Linked DNA regions of Macaca fascicularis. The protein of the gene in region 3 binds, or shares a complex with, the protein of the main gene of each other region. Links are inferred from orthologs where the notes say so. Each region holds a gene or a part of one and is shown on either strand. Other genes may lie near its edges. The genes, in order: DRC12, DRC9 and DRC4.

Region 1 (6,077 bases), on a different chromosome or scaffold from region 3:
GCCTGGTGACAGAACAAGACTCTGTCTGAAAAAAAAAGATAGCCTGGTGCAGTGGCTCACGCCTGTAATCCAAGAAACTTGGGAGGCCAAGGCAGGCAGATCACTTGAGGCCAGGAGTTCAAGACCATGCTGGCCAATATGGTAAACCCCGTCTCTACAAAAAATATAAAAATTAGCCAGGTGTGGTGGCATGCGCCTATAGTCCCGGCTACTCAGGAGGTTGAGGTGGGAAGATCACCAGAGCCTGGAGAGGCTGAGGCTGCAGTGAGCCGTGATCATGCCACTGCACTCCAGCCTGGGTGACAGAGAGAGACACTGAGAAAAAAAAAATGCCAGGCGCGGTGGCTCACGCCTGTAATCCCAGAATTTTGGGAGGCCGAGGCGGGTGGATCACGAGGTCAGGAGATCGAGTCCATCCTGGCTAACACAGTGAAACCCCATCTCTACTAAAAATACAAAAAAATTAGCGGGGCGTGGTGGTGGATGCCTGCAGTCGCAGCATGAACCCGGGAGGTGGAGCTTGCAGTGAGCCGAGATCGTGCCACTGCACTCCAGCCTGGGCAACAGAGCGAGACGCTGTCTCAAAACAAAAACAAAAACAAAACAAACAAACAAAAAACCTAAAGAAACGGTCTGCAGGTCCCCTAATCCAAAAGGAGAAAAGCCCTGAAGTGTCTGCTGTTTTCACTCTAACCAGTATGGTGCCCAGAGATCCAAGTGGCAGATAGATGGCAAGCCTCAGGATAGCACAGAGCTGCAGGGAGAGTGAAGGCTGCCTGACAAGGGAGGGCCACCTGTCATACTCTCTCCCCCACATTAATTATTCCAGCCACTCCTGGCTCCAGCAGGACACTAAGAAGTATCCCCAAAGGGAGTCACCCCCAGTATTGCCCAGTAAATAATTTAAAAGCAAAAATGTGGGAAACTCAGGAGAAGGTCAAACAAGTCCACTAGAGGGAGCCCCAACCAACTCTATGCTGCAGGGAGCCTCACAAAGCAATGTCTCAACACCTGTCTGAAAATCAACCACACAAGGGAATGGGGAAATGTAGCAATAGATTAAGTAACTAGGAGAGAAGATAGCCATGTAAACACCTAGCTAAAACACAGGCTTTTCAAGAGCTACAAAATCAAACATTTAAAGATCAGGAAACTGATGCTGAGCAAAGTCAAATGGCTTGCCTCAGTTTACATATCCACAGTTGGGACTCAAACTCAAATGTCTTGTCTCTAACCTGAGCACTTTCCTGCACACTTGCATCCCTCTAGGTCAGTACCCTAGAGTCCATGGGTCTGCTGTTCCTTTGTGTCTCATTTCTCTGAAGTGGGAAACGCCCTCGACTACCTATTCCTGTACTTATTACCCTCATTCCACAGTGTACTGAAGAGGATCTTCAGTGGTTTGGGGTTTTTGTTTGTTTGTTTGTTTGTTTGTTTGAGACAGGGTCTCCCTCTGTCATCCAGGCTGGAGTGCAGTGGTGCAATCATAGCTCACTGCTGCCTCAACCTCCCAGGCTCAAGTGGTTCTCCTGCTTCAGCCTCCCGAGTAGCTGAGACTAACAGGTGTGCACCACCCTGCCAGGCTAATTTTTTAATTTTTTGTAGAAATGAGGTCTCACTGTGTTGTCCAGGCTGGTCTTGAACTCCTGGCCTCAAGTAATCCTCCTGCCTCAGCTTCTGAAAATGTTGGGATTATAGGCATGAGCCACCGCCCCCAGCTTAGATCTTCAGTTTTAAACCTACTAATGTCATTTTGCTGATGGGACCTCGGGATGTCAATTGTCCAACATGGCTACTGTCAGTCCTTTTCCTCTGTATCAGCACAACATATTATCTCAGATGTGTACATCTGAATTTGGAAGTCTCCAAATTGCAGGCCATGTCTACGTGGCAATGAATCATAACCAATCGGCCTCCAAAGCCCTTTCTTTTCAAACTATACTTAGGGTTTTGGGATAAGGAAAGAACTGACCCTTTGAGACCTTGATATTTTAAGCTTTGTGAGCTGATTTAGCCCATTCCACCTTCCTACCAACTCCATGTTTCCCAGTTGCCTGGACAACATACAGCCTCCCGAAACCCAACCTTCCAGCCCTCAGTCCTGCCCTCAAGAGAAATTTGCCACCAAGGATTGGCTCCCAGGACCCAGGCCCCGCCTCAGGCTCCTCGCTAGTTGGGCCTTCTCTCTGCCACTCCCCACGGGTGGGTCACTCCACAGGGAGCCCCAACACTGGCAGGAGAGGATCCTACAGGTAGGAAGAGGGGGTTGAGGATGATGGGAAGAGGGAGGGGAGCAGGTACAGGGATTTATCTAAAAGAGAGTTGTGAGGAGTGACTTCCGTACAGTCAGCCTGGTTGAGAGAAAAAACTTCACCCTCCCCGTTGACCCCAACCCTGCCTGAGGTTCCAAAGAGACTGTGAACTGACTTTTCTGAAGAGTATGAGATGCAAATTTGGAGTAGAACCAGGAGACTCCCCTGAGACTCCTGATTCAGTCAGGAAAGCATCCCTGTGTCCAGACCTAAACATAAGGTCCCCTCCTTCTCCCAGGACAGCAAGGAGATGCCACTTAAAAACAAAGAAAAAGGGAAGAAATCTGGGGCGCAGAAGAAAAAGAACTGGGGTGAGTCATGGTGGGTGGAGGTGCCCCCTGCTTCTCCATGTTCTGGCATGAAGACCACGCAGAGCTCCTCCAGAGAGAATTCAGCCTTCTACATGACAGGATGGAACTCTCTTGACCTTCCTCTTTCGTGTCCTTGAAGTCAGATGCAGGGAGCTGAGGAAGTGGGGAAATGGTCACTCACGCTGTCCTTTAAGCACCATCTAGCTTTGTGCCTTCCTAATATATTTGTCATGTGTATTTTGCATATCTGTTATGTGCTGGTTGGTAAGGACACAGTGCTGACTTCAGTAGACTCTGCCACCATGGATCCCTCATTTAGTGGTCCTCAGGTCTCCTGTGGCAAAAGTGCAGGGTGTGGGGCGAGGACGCAAGGAGAGTGAGGAATGCTGAGATCACGAAGAGCTGAGGCTCTGCCACTTGCCACAGCAGGTGCAGATGTGGAGGCTGAGTCCAGGCACAGGCTGGTGGTGCTGGAGAAGGAGCTGCTCCGAGACCACTTGGGTAAGGAGGGTAGAAGTTGGCATGGGGGTGGGCAACAGGGCAAGTGAAATGGGGCATTTCTGTATCCTGGGGGATTGGAGAGTTGGAGATACAGTGGGGGGCTAAGTTGAACCCTAACCATCCCCTAGTGGAAAAAGACAATGAGAGAGGGGTGGGCAGTGAGAGTTGATAAAGGAAGCTTTTTTTTTTTTTAGACAGAATCTTGCTCTATTGCCCAGGCTGGACTGCAGTGGTGTGATCATAGCTCACTGTAATCTCAAACTCCTGGACCCCAACAATCTTCCCACCTCAGCTTCACGAGTAGCTGGTGCACACCACCCTACCTAGCTACTTTATTTATTTATTTATTTATTTTTCTTTTTTAAAATTTATTTTATTTTATTATTTCATTTTATTTTATTTTACTATCTTTTTTTTTAAGACAGAGTCCTGTGCTCTGTTGCCCAGGCTGGAGTGCAGTGGCGCGATCTTGGCTCACTGCAACCTCTGCCTCCCAGGCTCAAGTGATTCCCCTGCCTCGGCCTCCCAAGTAGCTGGGATTACAGGCACACAGCCACCACACCCGGCTAATTTTTGTATTCTTATTAGAGACAGGTTTTCACCATGTTGGCCAAGCTGGTCTCGAACTCTTGACCTCATGATCCTCCCACCTTGGCCTCCCAAAGTGCTGGGATTACAGGCATGAGCCACTGCGCCTGGCCCTATTTATTTTTCTTATAGAGACAAGGTCTCACTCTGTTGCCCAGGCAGGTCTCAAACTCCTGGCCTCAAGCAATTCTCCCACCTAAGCCCCCCAAAATATTGGGATTACAGGCATGAGCCACCATGCCGGGCTATCCGGAAAGCTATTTTGTATAGGCAGAACATGGAGAGAGTCTTTACTTCTTAATAATGAGGAGCCTGTGAGACTCTAGGGATAAAAAACAAAAACAACAAAACCCAGAGAGAGAATAAGAGGCTGGACGCCCCGCCACCAGATTTCTAGAGACGGGCAAAATTCATCAAGTTCATGGGGGCTGATTTAGCGGGCCCCAGCCAGTCCTGACAGTGGCTCTGGGACTGCTCACAGCTGTACGGAGGGATGAAGCCCGTCGAGCCAAGGCTTCCGAAGACCAGCTGAAGCAGAGGCTGCAAAGGGTGGAGGCTGAGCTGGAAGGGGCCCGAAGTGAAGGGAAGGCCATATATGCAGGTGTGTGGTCTGTTGAGCAGGTGGGCAGGAGACAGGGGCCTGGAGGAAGACAACCAGCAGGGTCAGATGATGCAAGGAAGGGAAACAAGGAGGGCTTCCAACTGCCAGGCCTGGTCTTGGTCTTCCCCGAACAGTACAAATCAGGCAGGATCCTGCAGGAATCAAAGGCAGGTAGGTTCCTGGGATCCCAGGCAGGGGCCTGCCAGGATGCCTGGTGCCATGTGCTTGATGCTGTGTAGGATACACATGCAGTCATAGCCATCACCTCAACCATCCTATGGGAGGGGAGAAGGACTAGCATCCCCATCCAAAGCTGGACGGTGGGGGAGGTGGGTTGGGCTTCCTTTCCCTTCCTCAGGTTTTCATGGTCTCTAGCTTCTCAGAATCACAAAAAGAACCAAGAAGACCATGGGCCGGGAGTGGTGGCTCACACCTGTAATCCCAGCACTTTGGGAGGCCGAGGCGGGCGGATCACGAGGTCAGGAGATCGAGACCATCCTGGCTAACATGGTGAAACTCCGTCTCTACTAAAAATGCAAAAAATTAGCCGGGTGTGGTGGCAGGTGCCTGTAGTCCCAGCTACTCGGGAGACTGAGGCAGGAGAAGGGGGTGAACCCGGGAGGCGGAGCTTGCAGTGAGCCAAGATCGCACCACTGCACTCCAGCCTGGGCGACAGAGCGAGACCCCGTCTCAAAAAAAAAAAAAAGAAAAAGAAAAAGAAGAACCAAGAAGGCCTTTGTGCTCCTGTTCCACTAGACCAAGTAGAGTCTTCCCCACCCACAACTTCATTTCCTTTCTCCATCGCTCCATCTCCGACCTGGGTCCCTGGCGGCCTACTGCCCCCACCCCAGAGATGAGTCGCCAGTGCCATGCCCTGCAGGAGGATATGCAATCCCGCAGCAAGCAGCTGGAGGAAGAAGTCAAGGGCCTTCGGGGGCAGCTAGGTAGGTTTCCCCATCCCCCAAGCCCCTTGTCTCCAAGAGTTGCAGCAAGGGCCAGCATGAAGGGGCAGACTTCAAAGTCTCTGCTCCAGAAAGCTGCCACCTGGGCTCTGGGATCACTTTCCCCACTTTCACTGACCCTCCACCACCGAGGACTGGAGCAGAGGGTTCGGGATGCCAAGAATCTCTGTTGTAAGTAAAGAAGAGGTGCCAGGCGCAGTGGCTCAGGCCTGTAATCCCAGCACTATGGGAGGCCAAGGCGGGCGGATCGCCTGAGGTCAGGAGTTCGAGAACAGCCTGGCCAAATGGTGAAACCCTGTCTCTACTAAAAATATAAAAATTAGCCGGATGTGGTGGCGCACACCTGTAATCCCAGCTACTCGGGAGGCTGAGGCAGGAGAATTGCTTGAATCCGGGAGGCAGAGGTTGCAGTGAGCCGAGATCGCGCCATTGCACTCCAGCCTGGGCGACAGAGCAACTCTGTCTCAAAAAAATAAATAAAAATAAAAAAGAAGAGGTAGGCGTCACACCCCATTTCCTCCTCTCCAAGTCCAGCCCTACCTAACTCCCCACCACTGCCATGTCTCTTGTGAGCAAAACATATTCCCTTTTAGTTTAGCTAATTTCTACAACGAAACTAAGGGAAAATGTTTGACTTATTTACTTACAAGACCTAGCACCCGGTAGGTCCTAAATAACTGTTCACTAAATAAATGAATAAACACTCCCAATAAGCAAAAATATTTTTAAAAACTAGGAAGCCTTTGCTTCTCTTCTCTTGCCTCCTGCTTACAAAATAATGTTGAAATATCTCAGCATGACA
Region 2 (5,977 bases), on a different chromosome or scaffold from region 3:
AGCCTGGGCAACAGAGCAAGACTCTGTCTCAAAAAAAGTAAAAAAAGAGAAGAAAGGCGGTTGATGTCTAGAGGAGGGCGGACCTCGGTTGAAGCACTTTTGCTGCTGGTTGTGTGCTTGTTTGCTGTGCTGTCAGGGCACCTCCCTGTGGACTCACTCACACAATGATTCTTCCAAACAGTTCTTTTCAAACAAATGTTACCTCCCTGACTAAAAGCTTTCCAAGGATTCCCACCACAGTTGGAATAAAACCTGAATTTCTCAGTCAGGCGTCCGAGGTCCTGTGTGGTGCCCTTACCTACCTCCAGCCTCATCCTGTCGTCCCCTCAACCCTCACTAGGCTAGAGCCTCCGGAGTTTTCTTTCCATTCCTGGAATGTATTCAGGTCTTGATGGCTTCAGGATTTGGGCATATACTTTTTCTTATTTTTTTTTTTAGAGTTCCCTTAACCCTATTTTTCTATTCTTTTTTCCTTTTTTCTTCTTCTTTTTCTTTTCTTTCTTTTTTGAGACAGAGTCTCATTCTGTCACCCAGGCTGGAGTGCAGTGGCGCGGTCTCAGCTCACTTCAACCCCCACCTCCCGGGTTCAAGCGATTCTTCTGCCTCAGCCTCCCGCGTAGCTGGGATTACAGGCACACGCCAGCATGCCCAGCTATTTTTCATATTTTTAGTAGAGATGGGGTTTCACCATGTTGGCCAAGCTGGTCTCAAACTACTGACCTAAGGTGATGCCCCTGCCTCAGCCTCCCAAAGTGCTGGGATTACAGGCGTGAGTCCCGGTGCCTGGCCAAGCCTGTTTTTCATGGGGTGGGCTTACGTATCCTTCAGGTATTGAATGAACCATCGCTTCCTTGAGAGAGTCCCTCTCAGACCTTCCAGAGTCTAATGTACCTCGAATGAACCATCACTTTCTGGAGAGAGTTCCTCTCAGGCCTTCCAGAGTCTAATGTACCTCGAATGAACCATCACTTTCTGGAGAGAGTTCCTCTCAGGCCTTCCAGAGTCTAATGTACCTCGAATGAACCATCACTTTCTGGAGAGAGTTCCTCTCAGGCCTTCCAGAGTCTAATGTACCTCGAATGAACTATCGCTTTCCCAAGAGTCCCTCTCAGACCTTCCAGAGTCTAATGTACATCGAATGAACCATCACTTTCCCGAGAGAGTCCCTCTCAGGCCTTCCAGAGTCGAATGGACTCCTCCCTTGTTATTTCCTCCCACAGCCTGTCAAGCTTTCCTTTTCTATCATTTTGCACAATTTTTGAAAGTTTACACATGTGTTTGTCTCTTTTTAACCACCTCTCTTCTATTAGACTGTAAGCTCTATGAGGGCAGGGAATATGTCTGTTTAGATCTCCATGATTTTCCTAGAGCCTAGCTCTAGGAAGAGCCTGGTGCTGAATAAATATTCAGCCTGGTGCTGAATAAATATTTTTCTTAATGACTATTGAGTCCTTGCAATTGCCAAGCACTTGGTGACCTGCAAAAAGAAAGCGTTTTCACACGTGTTCTCAATGAAACCTAATAATCTCTGAGATACTTCAGTCAGGGTGGGTGTTGTGTGTGTGTGTGTGTGTGTGTGTTTTATAGAAAGTAAAAAAGTTGGAGATTTGACTAGGCCAAGTTCACACAGCTGGAGGCCTGGGTGGGAAGTCAGTTCTTTTCATCATTTTGACCAGTGTTCTTCCTACCAAAATGAGAAATCTGTGTGGGAAATATGGACATACCAGTAATGTGCCTGGGAACTAATCTCCGCCCTGATTCGCCCTGATTCTTCGAACTGCTGTATTACTCACTTTCCTCTCTTCATGATTGTTGGCTAAATTTCCCGTTGTGTGACAGCGGAAAACTAGTTCCCGTTCCTTATTGATTTACACTTATAAAAGGGAACCTTAAGCCACTGGCTGAACTGAATGGCGGTAGAATGTATTTTCAATTTAGAAACCTGGTCTTTCCATTGCAGAGTCAGAATGAATATATTGCTAACCTCAAGGACCAACTGCAAGAGATGAAAGCAAAATCCAACTTGGAGAATCGCTACATGAAAACCAATACTGAGCTGCAGATTGCCCAGACCCAGAGAAAGTGTAACAGAACAGAGGAAGTCTTGCTGGAAGAGATTGAGGTAATCCCTGGGACATTAGTGAAGAACCCAGGAGATGGCATTTGAGCTGTCACTCCTGATCCTGTCTCAGCTAACAAAGGAGGGAGATGAAGATTTCCTCCATCTCTCTCGGCAACAGCCCCTCCACTTGAGGTTGAAAATGGAAGCCTAAATGAGGATACACATGTTCGCAAGCGGAGATTCCAACGGGCTGTAGCCTCCTTCTCCTGCCTCATAATGACTTTGAAAATTGGCTGTACTTTCTCTCCTCGGTCACTTCTTATTTTATCAAACCAATCGCCATTTCTCTAATTATAGGGAGAGGGCAAAACAAGATCCTTAGTTATGGCAGGATTTTGCTGCTGTTTGTTTTATCTAGCCAGTACTTTTCACTCCTCCAGTAAGAAATACAGCATCTTGAGAGGTGAACTTCATTCAAACCTGAATTTATGGAGATGAGAAGTCATGGTGAAAAATATCAGGAGGAAGAAAGTGGTAGATCTTCTTTGAGGGGAATGCGAAATGGCGCGCGCGCGCGCACACACACACACACACACACACACACACACACACACACACTGCACACACATACACAAAGCCAGGCACTAGTCCCAGCTAATTGGAAGGGAGGCAGGAGGATCCTTGAGTTTGAAGCCAGCCTGGGCAACATAGGGAGACTCCCTTCTCTCTCTCTCTCTCTCTCTCTCTCTCTCTCTGTCTCACACACACACACACACACACACACACACACACACACACACACACGCAAAGAGCAGCAGGCAGATGGGAAGACGGAAGAAGGAACAAACGTCCTTAGACCATGGAATTTGTGTGTGGGAGGACTCCTTGCTCTGAGACTAACGTGGCTTAAGGCCACGACAACAGTCTTCCTGGCACTCTGGAATTTCCCTTTTTTAGGCCCCACAGCCTTGTGCCCTTGGCGCACCGTTTCTCTCCTTCAATGGGCACCTCTTTTCAATTCACGGGATTGCGCACCTTTCGTTAGGGACACTAACACAGTCCAGACAGTGCCGCGTCATGTGTCTCTGCGGTGTTTGTGAACAGGAATTGCACGAAACTGAATTCCCGGCATCCCAGCTGGTAAAGGAAACCTGAGCTGCCGACCAAGCTGCTCCTCTAATCTTGAGAACTTCTGATTCACAGCCCTGCAGGGAAGACGTGCTGATGTCTGATTATTGTTCTTACAGAAACTCAGGATGAAAACCGAAGAAGAGGCCCGGATTCATATGGACATTGAAATGTTCCTTAGAAAGCAGCAGCAGGTGGGTCACCAAAACTTTTCTGTGCTTTGAGTCTTTTTGTACTCTGCTCATACTGAGGAAACAAAAAAAATATTTTGAAGAAAAACCAGCCATCATTCTTTCAGCCTAATGAGCTTGAGCTCACATGTTATTTCAGGGTTGTGCATCTGAATAGATATCTTATATAGTTACAATCTGAGAGAGTACAAGTAAAATTTTGTTTTCCGCTTTTATCATTGAGCTTAGATAAGAAATTTTTTGATTCCTATATTGCTGTATACTCATAATTTTTAAATTATGACTTAATTTATGACAAAATTTAGTAAGTCAAATTATGACTTAAAAATTTATGGGCCGGGCACAGTGGCTCACGCCTGTAATCTCAGCACTTTGGGAGTCTGAAGCGGGTGGATCACCTGAGGTCAGGAGTTCGGGACCCGCCTGGCCAACATGGTGAAACCCCCTCTCTATTAAAAATACAACAATTAGCCAGGCGTGGTGACAGGCACCTGTAATCCCAGCTACTCAGGAAGCTGAGGTGGGAGAATTGCTTGAACCTGGGAGGCAGAGGCTGCAGTGAGCTGAGATTGTGCCACTGTACTCCAGCTGGGCAACAGAGCAAGACCCCGCCTCAAAAAAAAAGACATAATTTTAAAATTAATTATTTTTAATTATGACTATATTAAAATGTTTTCCCATTAGTATAGTGGCCAATAAATAAAAAAGAAAAATAAAGGCCAGGTGCAGTGGCTCACGCCTGTAATCTCAGCACTTTGAGAGGCCGAGGCCGGCGGATCACCTGAGGTCAGGAGTTCTAGACCAGCCAGGTCAACATGATGAAACCCCATCTCTACTAAAAATACAAAAATTAGCCGGGCGTGGTGATGCAGCCCTGTAATCCCAGCTATTCGGGAGGCTGAGGCAGAAGAATCGTTTGAACCTGGGAGGCAGAGCTTGCAGTGAGCCGAGATCACACCACTCACTCCCGCCTGGGTGACAGAGCGAGACTCTGTCTCTAAAAAAAAAAAAAAAAAAGATTTACTAATTTTTTACGTTATAAAAATAACATTCCCAGTTGAGTGAGGATTTTTAAAATGACTCATTGCTTTTCATTTTTTATGTTATTACAGTTTCTTTATAAAATAATTGAAAATCGTTGTTTAATGTTCCATTGAATGGTTGTGCCATAGTTTGTTACAAATTTTTTTTTTTAATATTTAGGTTGTTTCCAAAGTTTTATTATTATAAATAATGCACTTATTAAAGCTTAGCCCAAAGAACTATTTTTCTTCATGGCAACTATTTACTAAAAGTAAATCTCAATCATAAGATGATTATTTCAGAGACTGGTATTTTGTGACTTTTGATAAACATTGCCGACTCTCTAACCTGTGCTGCCGCTAGCAGTGTTGCAGGCAGTCATTTCAAGGTCTCTTCAACATTAGTAGCCATTTTAAATATTTTTCAAAGTCTGCTAATTTAATGAGTTGTTTTGTTTTTTTTTGTTTTTTGGTTTTTTTTGCTTATTAATAGAAGTGAACATAACATTTTTCCATGTTTACTCAATTTATTTCTTCTTATGTGAAATATATATGACAGAAGTGGTTTTAAAAGCATTTTCAATACTAATAACCAAGCTGGGTCTATAATATATCTAAGGTTAGAAGTATGTCTAAGTGTAGCTGGAGTCTTTCTTTACTTTGTTTTTTGGGGGTTTTTTTGAGATGCAGTCTTGCTTTACCATCCAGGCTGGAGTGCAGTGGCATGATCTCGGCTCACTGCAACCTCCGCCTCCTGGGTTCAAGCGATTCTCCTGCCTCAGCCTCCCGAGTAGCTGGGACTACAGGTGCCTGTCACCACGCCTGGCTAATTTTTGTATTTTTAGTAGAGACGGGGTTTCACCATGTTGGCCAGGCTGGTCTAGAACTCCTGACCTCAGGTAATCCACCTGCCTCAGCCTCCCAAAGTGCTGGGATTACAGGCGTGAGCCACCGCGCCAGCCACCGCGCCCAGCCCCAGCTAGAGTCTTTCAAAATATCCCTGTTGGATGAACAAAGAGAAAATTTTCCAGCTTAGTTATAATACAGCTTGCTTTTTGGAAAAGCTAATGAGTTTTCAGTCAACGATTCCAAATGTGTGGTTAAGGAGAATTTGTAGATGCTATCTTGCAGGTCTTTACTGAAAAAAATATCTGGTAGGCTATTAGAATTAGGGTTCTGTAGCCCTGCAGTTTCAGAACTATGTATCATGTTACCTGTTTCAAGTGTGAGATACCTGGCAGGTGTTGGATATTTATCAGTGAGTTGTTGGATAAATGGATCACGAAGGGATGACGCCAGAGTTTCTCAGATCTTCAGCCCAATAACACAAGCAATACATAAGTATGTATTTTTTTATTTTTTATTTTTTAGGGGCAGGGTCTCTCTGTTTCCCAGCCTTCAGTGCAGTGGTGCCATCATAGCTCACTGCAGCCTCAAACTCCTGGGCCCAAGTGATCCTCCCACCTCAGTCTTCTGAGTAGCTGGGACTACAGCTGTGCACCACCATGTCCAGCTACAATGTAAGACAGAAATATATAAATTAAAGAAAGTGAAAGCCCTCTTAAATTACTCCC
Region 3 (6,077 bases):
TGGTTTTGTGAAGTAAGTGTTAAATAATAATAATAATTACCCCCACTGTGCTCTCCAGTGTCACCGTCTGACCACCTTATCCCAGGGGGAGGAGGCCCCCTCAGGCCAAGGGAGTCTGGCACAGTGACCAGCCAGACTTCACCAAGGCCTCAGGGCTTACTATAAATAAATCACGGCTTTGTACAAGCTGAGCCAGTGCAGTTCTTCCAACTGGCTGCTCCTCTCCAAGAACAATCAGGACTCGGGTGGGCAAGCAGGAAGTCTCTCATCACAGTGGTTCTCAGATTCCCACCACTGTGTGGGTGCCCGAGGCCTGAGCAAGCCCAGCTCATGTGGCAGCATGAGCTGGACGGGAAGACCTAAGTCCACCAAGCCTTTCATTTCTCACCCTTTGCCCCCAGCACAACTTTCTATGAGCATAGATTCTGGAATCTTCATCCAAGACACACAGGAGAACAAGATCTGCTGCAAGACCTTTTTTTTTTTTTTCGAGACATGGTCTCAGGTCTCACTCTGTTACCTAGGCTGGAGTGCAGTGGTGTGATCTTGGCTCACTGCAACCTCCACCTCCAGGGCTCAAATGATCGTCCCACCTCAACCTCCCAAGTAGATGACCACTTTTTTTTTTTTTTTTTTTTTTGAGACAGAGTCTTGCTCTGTCGCTCAGGCTGGAGTGCAGTGGCCGGATCTCAGCTCACTGCAAGCTCCGCCTCTCGGGTTTACGCCATTCTCCTGCCTCAGCCTCCTGAGTAGCTGGGACTACAGGCGCCCGCCACCTCGCCTGGCTAGTTTTTTTTTTTTTTTTAAGTAGAGACGGGGTTTCACTGTGTTAGCCAGGATGGTCTCGATCTCCTGACCTCGTGATCCACCTGTCTCGGCCTCCCAAAGTGCTGGGATTACAGGCTTGAGCCACCGCGCCCGGCCGATGACCACTTTTTAAGAAGATGTTAAAGATGACAGCTTACGGCCAGGTGTGGGGCTCACGTTGTGCTCCCAGCACTTTGGGAGGCTGAGGCAGGAGGATCGCTTGAGACCAGGAGTTTGAGACCATTCTGGGCCATAAAGCATGACCCCATCTCTATAAAAAACTTATTTAAAAAAGCTGGGTGTGGTGTCTCACACCTGTAGTCCCAGCTTCTCAGGAGGCTGAGGTGGGAGGATTGCTTGAGTCCAGGAGGTCGAGGCTGCAGTGAGTTGTGATCACAGCCTAGGCGACAGAAGGAGACCCTGTCTCCAAAAAAAAGAAAAGAAAAAAAGCAAGAAGCACCTGTTTATGACAAACTCAGCCATCTGGGTGACGTAGATGGTTGTATGTAGGTAACAGGGTGGTTTCAGGGATGGCAGGTTCACTTTAGAAATTGTAAAATGCCTAGCAGTCTTCAGAACAAGAGATTAGTTAGAAAAGGAAAGTGACAACTGTGTGTTTTCTGCAGGGCCTGTCGGAAAGTCTCTGGTTTCTCTTCATCCCTGAGGACTGGGGAGGAGGCCTTTTCAGGAAGAGCAGTTTATTTTTGTGAAAGGGATACTTCCTGATTTCAAACATTTGGAACTAAACTGGAACCTATTTTTCTTTCCTATTTCTACGTTTTTGAGGTGTGTGTAAAGCCACCAGCGCAGCAGCTGGGAGGACCCCTCAAAGCGGGGCGGGTGGGGTGAGTGAATCCCAGCGGGTAGAGTCTTTGCCCAGATTTGAATCTCATTTGGGTGATGTTTCAGAGCCCTGGGTGGCAGATGACCATTTATTCAACGGTCCTTCATTCACTCATCCAGCCACTCAGCACATCTTTACTGAGCACGTGCTCTGTGCTGTTCTAGGCGCTGAAGGATAGAAGTGAACGGTTCTCTCCTCATGGAGCTTAGGTTCCAGCAATAAGCAAAACATGTCCTGCAGCGAAAGGCTTCTGGGCTTCTGGGCTGCCGGCGAGATCTTCCCAACTTTCACTACCGGGTTCCTTCCTGACGCCCGTCTCTAGGGACGCACTCCCGCGGTTGGCAGGGCTGGGGCCCGGCGGAGTCTCGCGAGGATCTGGTGACTTCTCGCGGTAGCGCCCAGCGGTTGCCGGGAAACGGCGTGGCTTCCGGGGGGCGGGCGCGCTGGTCCGGGAGTCGCGGCTGGGCCTGTCCGCTGGCGTCATGGTGAGCAGGGGCTGGAGCGGGGCTGAGGTCCTCGGCAGGGGCCTGGAGACCTCGGGGCAGGGAGGCCTCGGTACACAGAGACCCTGGGAATGGGAGGACTGGAGCGCTGGGTTCCTGGAATTGAGAGCTCGGTGCTCTTGTGAGGGTCTCCGTGGGGCAAACTCAGGATGCTCCTGGCCCCGGGGCCTGCCCGCACTCGGAGCTGAGACCTGGGCTGTCCAGAGCCCTGTGCTCCCTGGGGTGGTCGTAGAAAGCCCAGGACCCAGGGTCCGCAGCGCATGGTCCCCAGAAGAGTGAAAATGCGTCAAGGGGACTCCCATCCTGGAATGGGAGACTCGGTCTGTTGGATCCCTGGGACCTAGGGTTTCACCTCACAGGGGCTTTGCAGCGCACCAGGGTGCCCATTGAATAGAGCCGGGGGCAGGGATTACCCTAAGCCCTTTGGTCTCCGGAATGGAGAGCCTGGGGCACACCAGAGTGGCTAGGGATCCCTCTACACCAAGGAGGCCTGGACAGGTCCAGTGCCCTTGGAGTGCCCAGGGCACAACCTTGGGATACAGGAACCACTGTTCCCTTAGAAAGCCTGGCAGGAGTCAGGCCCAGACCGAGAAGAGGAAGGCGGAGCTCGTGGCCTCATCAGCGCCATCTCTGTCTTTCTCGTGTAAAGGGCTCTCCCTTTGTGATACAGGAATTGTCAGTAACTCAATTTCTGGGCAGGTGTGGCAGGGTGGGTTTCAGCTGGTGGGGGAGGAAAGCTCTGGGAGCCCCACCAAGTCCCTGCAGCTGGCTGTGAAGGTCCCAAATGCTAAGTGATGCTGAACCTTCCTCTGCGGCCTTTAGGGCTTTCTGATGAGGTAGCCTTCTTGGAGTGGAGGGATTAGAAAGAGAGCAGTACATTACGAATTAAGATTTAAGTGGATGAGTTTTTTGGCCCAGGAATGGTCTTCTGAAAACAGACTGTGAAAGAAACTACCAAACTAGGCCAGGAGTCTTGGCGCCGTGACTCACACCTGTAATCCCAGCTCTTTGCGAGGCCGAGGCAGGCGGATCTTGAGGTCAAGAGATCGAGACCATCCTGGCCAACATGGTGAAATTCTGTATCTAGTAAAAATACAGAAATTAGCTGGGCGTGGTGGTGTGCACCTGTAGTTCCAGCTACTCGGGAGGCTGAGGCAGGAGAATGGCGTGAACCTGGGAGGCGGAGCTTGCAGTGAGCTGAGATGGCACCAGTGCACTCCAGCCTGGCAACAGAGCAAGACTACGTCTCTAACAAAACAAAAACAAAAACAAAGGCGGGGCATGGTAGCTGACACCCGTAAACCCAGCACGTTGGGAGGCCAAGGTGGGTGGATCACTTGAGGTCAGGAGTTGGAGACCAGCCTGGCCAACATGGTGAAACCCTGTCTCTACTAAAAATACAAAAAAAAAAAAAAAATTTCCTGAGTGTGGTGGTGTGCACCTGTAGTCCCAGCTACTTGGGAGGCTGAGGCAGGAGAATTGCTTGAACCTGGAAGGTAGAGGTTGTGCAGTGGGATTTTTAAGGAATCAGACTGATGCAGTTCAGGAGGATATTTATTAATTATTTAGGTGCACTGGCCCAGTCAGATTAACATCCAAAGGACTGAGCCCTGAACAAAGAGTCAAGTTACCTTTTTTTTTTTGAGATGGAGTCTCGCTCTGTTGCCCAGGCTGAAGTGCAGTGGCCGGATCTCAGCTCACTGCAAGCTCCGCACCATTCTCCTGCCTCAGCCTACCGAGTACCTGGGACTACAGGCGTACACCACCACGCCTGGCTAATTTTTTGTATTTTTTAAGTAGAGATGGGGTTTCACCGTGTTAGCCAGGATGGTCTCAATCTCGTGACCTTGTGATCCGCCCGCCTCGGCCTCCCAAAGTGCTGGGATTACAGGCACGAGCCACTGCACTCGGCCAAGTTACCTTTTAAGCGTTTCGTGTGGCAGACGGGAGATCTGTGCAGGGGGAAGCATACTACAGACGCAAGAAGCAAAGACAGTTGTTCAGTTGAAACGTACGTTACATCATTTCTTACTTTTTAAGGAAAAACATGTTTTGCGACGAGTTTATCTGCCTAGTGACCTTGCAGCTGCGCTAGAGAAACAGGGTCTTCACAATGCCTGGGAAGGGAGGAGAGATCAGGCTCACTACCACCAAAAAACAGGCAGTTACTTTTTTTTCTTTTTTTTAATTTATTTATTTATTTATTTTTTGAGACGGAGTCTCGCTCTCTCTCCCGGGCTGGAGTGCAGTGGCCGGATCTCAGCTCACTGCAAGCTCCGCCTCCCGGGTTCCCGCCATTCTCCTGCCTCAGCCTCCCGAGTAGCTGGGACTACAGGCGCCCGCCACCTCGCCCGGCTAGTTTTTTGTATTTTTTAGTAGAGACGGGGTTTCACCGTGTTGGCCAGGATGGTCTCGATCTCCTGACCTCGTGATCCGCCCGTCTCGGCCTCCCAAAGTGCTGGGATTACAGGCTTGAGCCACCGCGCCCAGCCGACAGGCAGTTACTTTTTAAAGCACTCCAGCTCTTTCTCTTTCAGGGAGATTGGGTTTTCTTACATACAACTGAGTTTCTGCTTACACACTTTTTAATTTCTTTTAATTCCTGTTCCAGTTGCAGTGAGCCAGGATTGTGCCACTGCACTCCAACCTGGGTGACAGAGCAAGACTTCATCTCAAAACAAACAAACAAACAAACAAAAAAAACCACTACCGGCCGGGCGCGGTGGCTCAAGCCTGTAATCCCAGCACTTTGGGAGGCCGAGAGGGCGGATCACGAGGTCAGGAGATCGAGACCATCCTGGCGAACACGGTGAAACCCCGTCTCTACTAAAAAAATACAAAAAACTAGCCGGGCGAGGCGGCGGGCGCCTGTAGTCCCAGCTACTCGGGAGGCTGAGGCAGGAGAATGGCGTAAACCCGGGAGGCGGAGCTTGCAGTGAGCTGAGATCCGGCCACTGCACTCCAGCCCGGGCGACAGAGCCAGACTCCGTCTCAAAAAAAAAAAAAAAAAAAAAAAAAAAACCACTACCAAACTACTTCTATTTCTATTAGGTTGTGGGAATATGGGCCTCGGTCTGTTGGATCCTTGGACCAAGGAATATGGATGATAATTTTTCTGTTTTCTTCTCATCAGTGTTTTCTAAAATTTCCACATAATATTTTCTTTTTCTTTCTCTCTCTCTTCTTTCCTTCCTTCCTTCCTTCCCTTTCCTTCCTTCCTTCCCTTTCCTTCCTTCCTTCCCTCCTTCCTTCCTTCCCTTTCCTTCCTTCCTTCCCTCCTTCCTTCCTTCCCTTTCCTTCCTTCCTTCCCTCCTTCCTTCCTTCCCTCCTTCCTTCCTTCCTTCCTTCGTTCCTTCCTTCGTTCCTTCCTTCGTTCCTTCCTTCCTTCCTTCCTTCCTTCCTTCCTTCCTTCGTTCCTTCCTTCGTTCCTTCCTTCCTTCCTTCCTTCCTTCCTTCCTTCCTTCCTTCCTTCGTTCCTTCCTTCGTTCCTTCCTTCGTTCCTTCGTTCCTTCCTTCCTTCCTTCCTTCCTTCCTTCCTTCCTTTGTTCCTTCCTTCCTTCCTTCTTTCCTTCTTCTTTCCTTCTTTCTTGTCTCGCTCTGTCGCCCAGGCTGGAGTGCAGTGACGCGATCTTGGCTCACTGCAAGCTCTGCCTGCTGGGTTCACGCCATTCTCCTGCCTCGGCCTCGCGAGAAGATGGGACTGCAGGTGCCCACCACCACGCCTGGCTAATTTTTTTGTGTTTTTAGTAGAGACGGGGTTTCACCATGTTGGCCAGGCTGGTCTTGAACTCCTGATCTTAAGTGATCTGCCCACCTCGGCCTCCCAAAGTGCTGGGATTACAGGTGTGAGCCACGGCATCTGGCTCCACCTAATATTTTCACTCAAGACTAAATGAAACATAAATGAAAATAAATGGGCCAGT

What was found.
Region 1: DRC4 (region 3) and DRC12 share a complex: the UniProt entries of both Homo sapiens proteins name them as parts of the nexin-dynein regulatory complex. The link is inferred for Macaca fascicularis from reciprocal best matches to the Homo sapiens genes DRC4 and DRC12.
Region 2: DRC4 (region 3) and DRC9 share a complex: the UniProt entries of both Homo sapiens proteins name them as parts of the nexin-dynein regulatory complex. The link is inferred for Macaca fascicularis from reciprocal best matches to the Homo sapiens genes DRC4 and DRC9.

Annotation. Positions count from the first base shown.
Region 1 is NC_088388.1:118,065,370-118,071,446, reverse strand, and holds the start of DRC12 (dynein regulatory complex protein 12), read left to right. Parts: upstream 1-2,209; 5' UTR 2,210-2,252; intron 2,253-2,550; 5' UTR 2,551-2,562; coding exon 2,563-2,623; intron 2,624-3,049; coding exon 3,050-3,124; intron 3,125-4,193; coding exon 4,194-4,313; intron 4,314-5,164; coding exon 5,165-5,257; intron 5,258-6,077. UniProt on the Homo sapiens protein: Component of the nexin-dynein regulatory complex (N-DRC), a key regulator of ciliary/flagellar motility which maintains the alignment and integrity of the distal axoneme and regulates microtubule sliding in motile axonemes.
Region 2 is NC_088376.1:925,886-931,862, forward strand, and holds part of DRC9 (dynein regulatory complex protein 9), read left to right. Parts: intron 1-1,960; coding exon 1,961-2,122; intron 2,123-3,309; coding exon 3,310-3,384; intron 3,385-5,977. UniProt on the Homo sapiens protein: Component of the nexin-dynein regulatory complex (N-DRC), a key regulator of ciliary/flagellar motility which maintains the alignment and integrity of the distal axoneme and regulates microtubule sliding in motile axonemes.
Region 3 is NC_088394.1:85,966,341-85,972,417, forward strand, and holds the start of DRC4 (dynein regulatory complex subunit 4), read left to right. Parts: upstream 1-2,102; 5' UTR 2,103-2,133; coding exon 2,134-2,136; intron 2,137-6,077. UniProt on the Homo sapiens protein: Component of the nexin-dynein regulatory complex (N-DRC), a key regulator of ciliary/flagellar motility which maintains the alignment and integrity of the distal axoneme and regulates microtubule sliding in motile axonemes.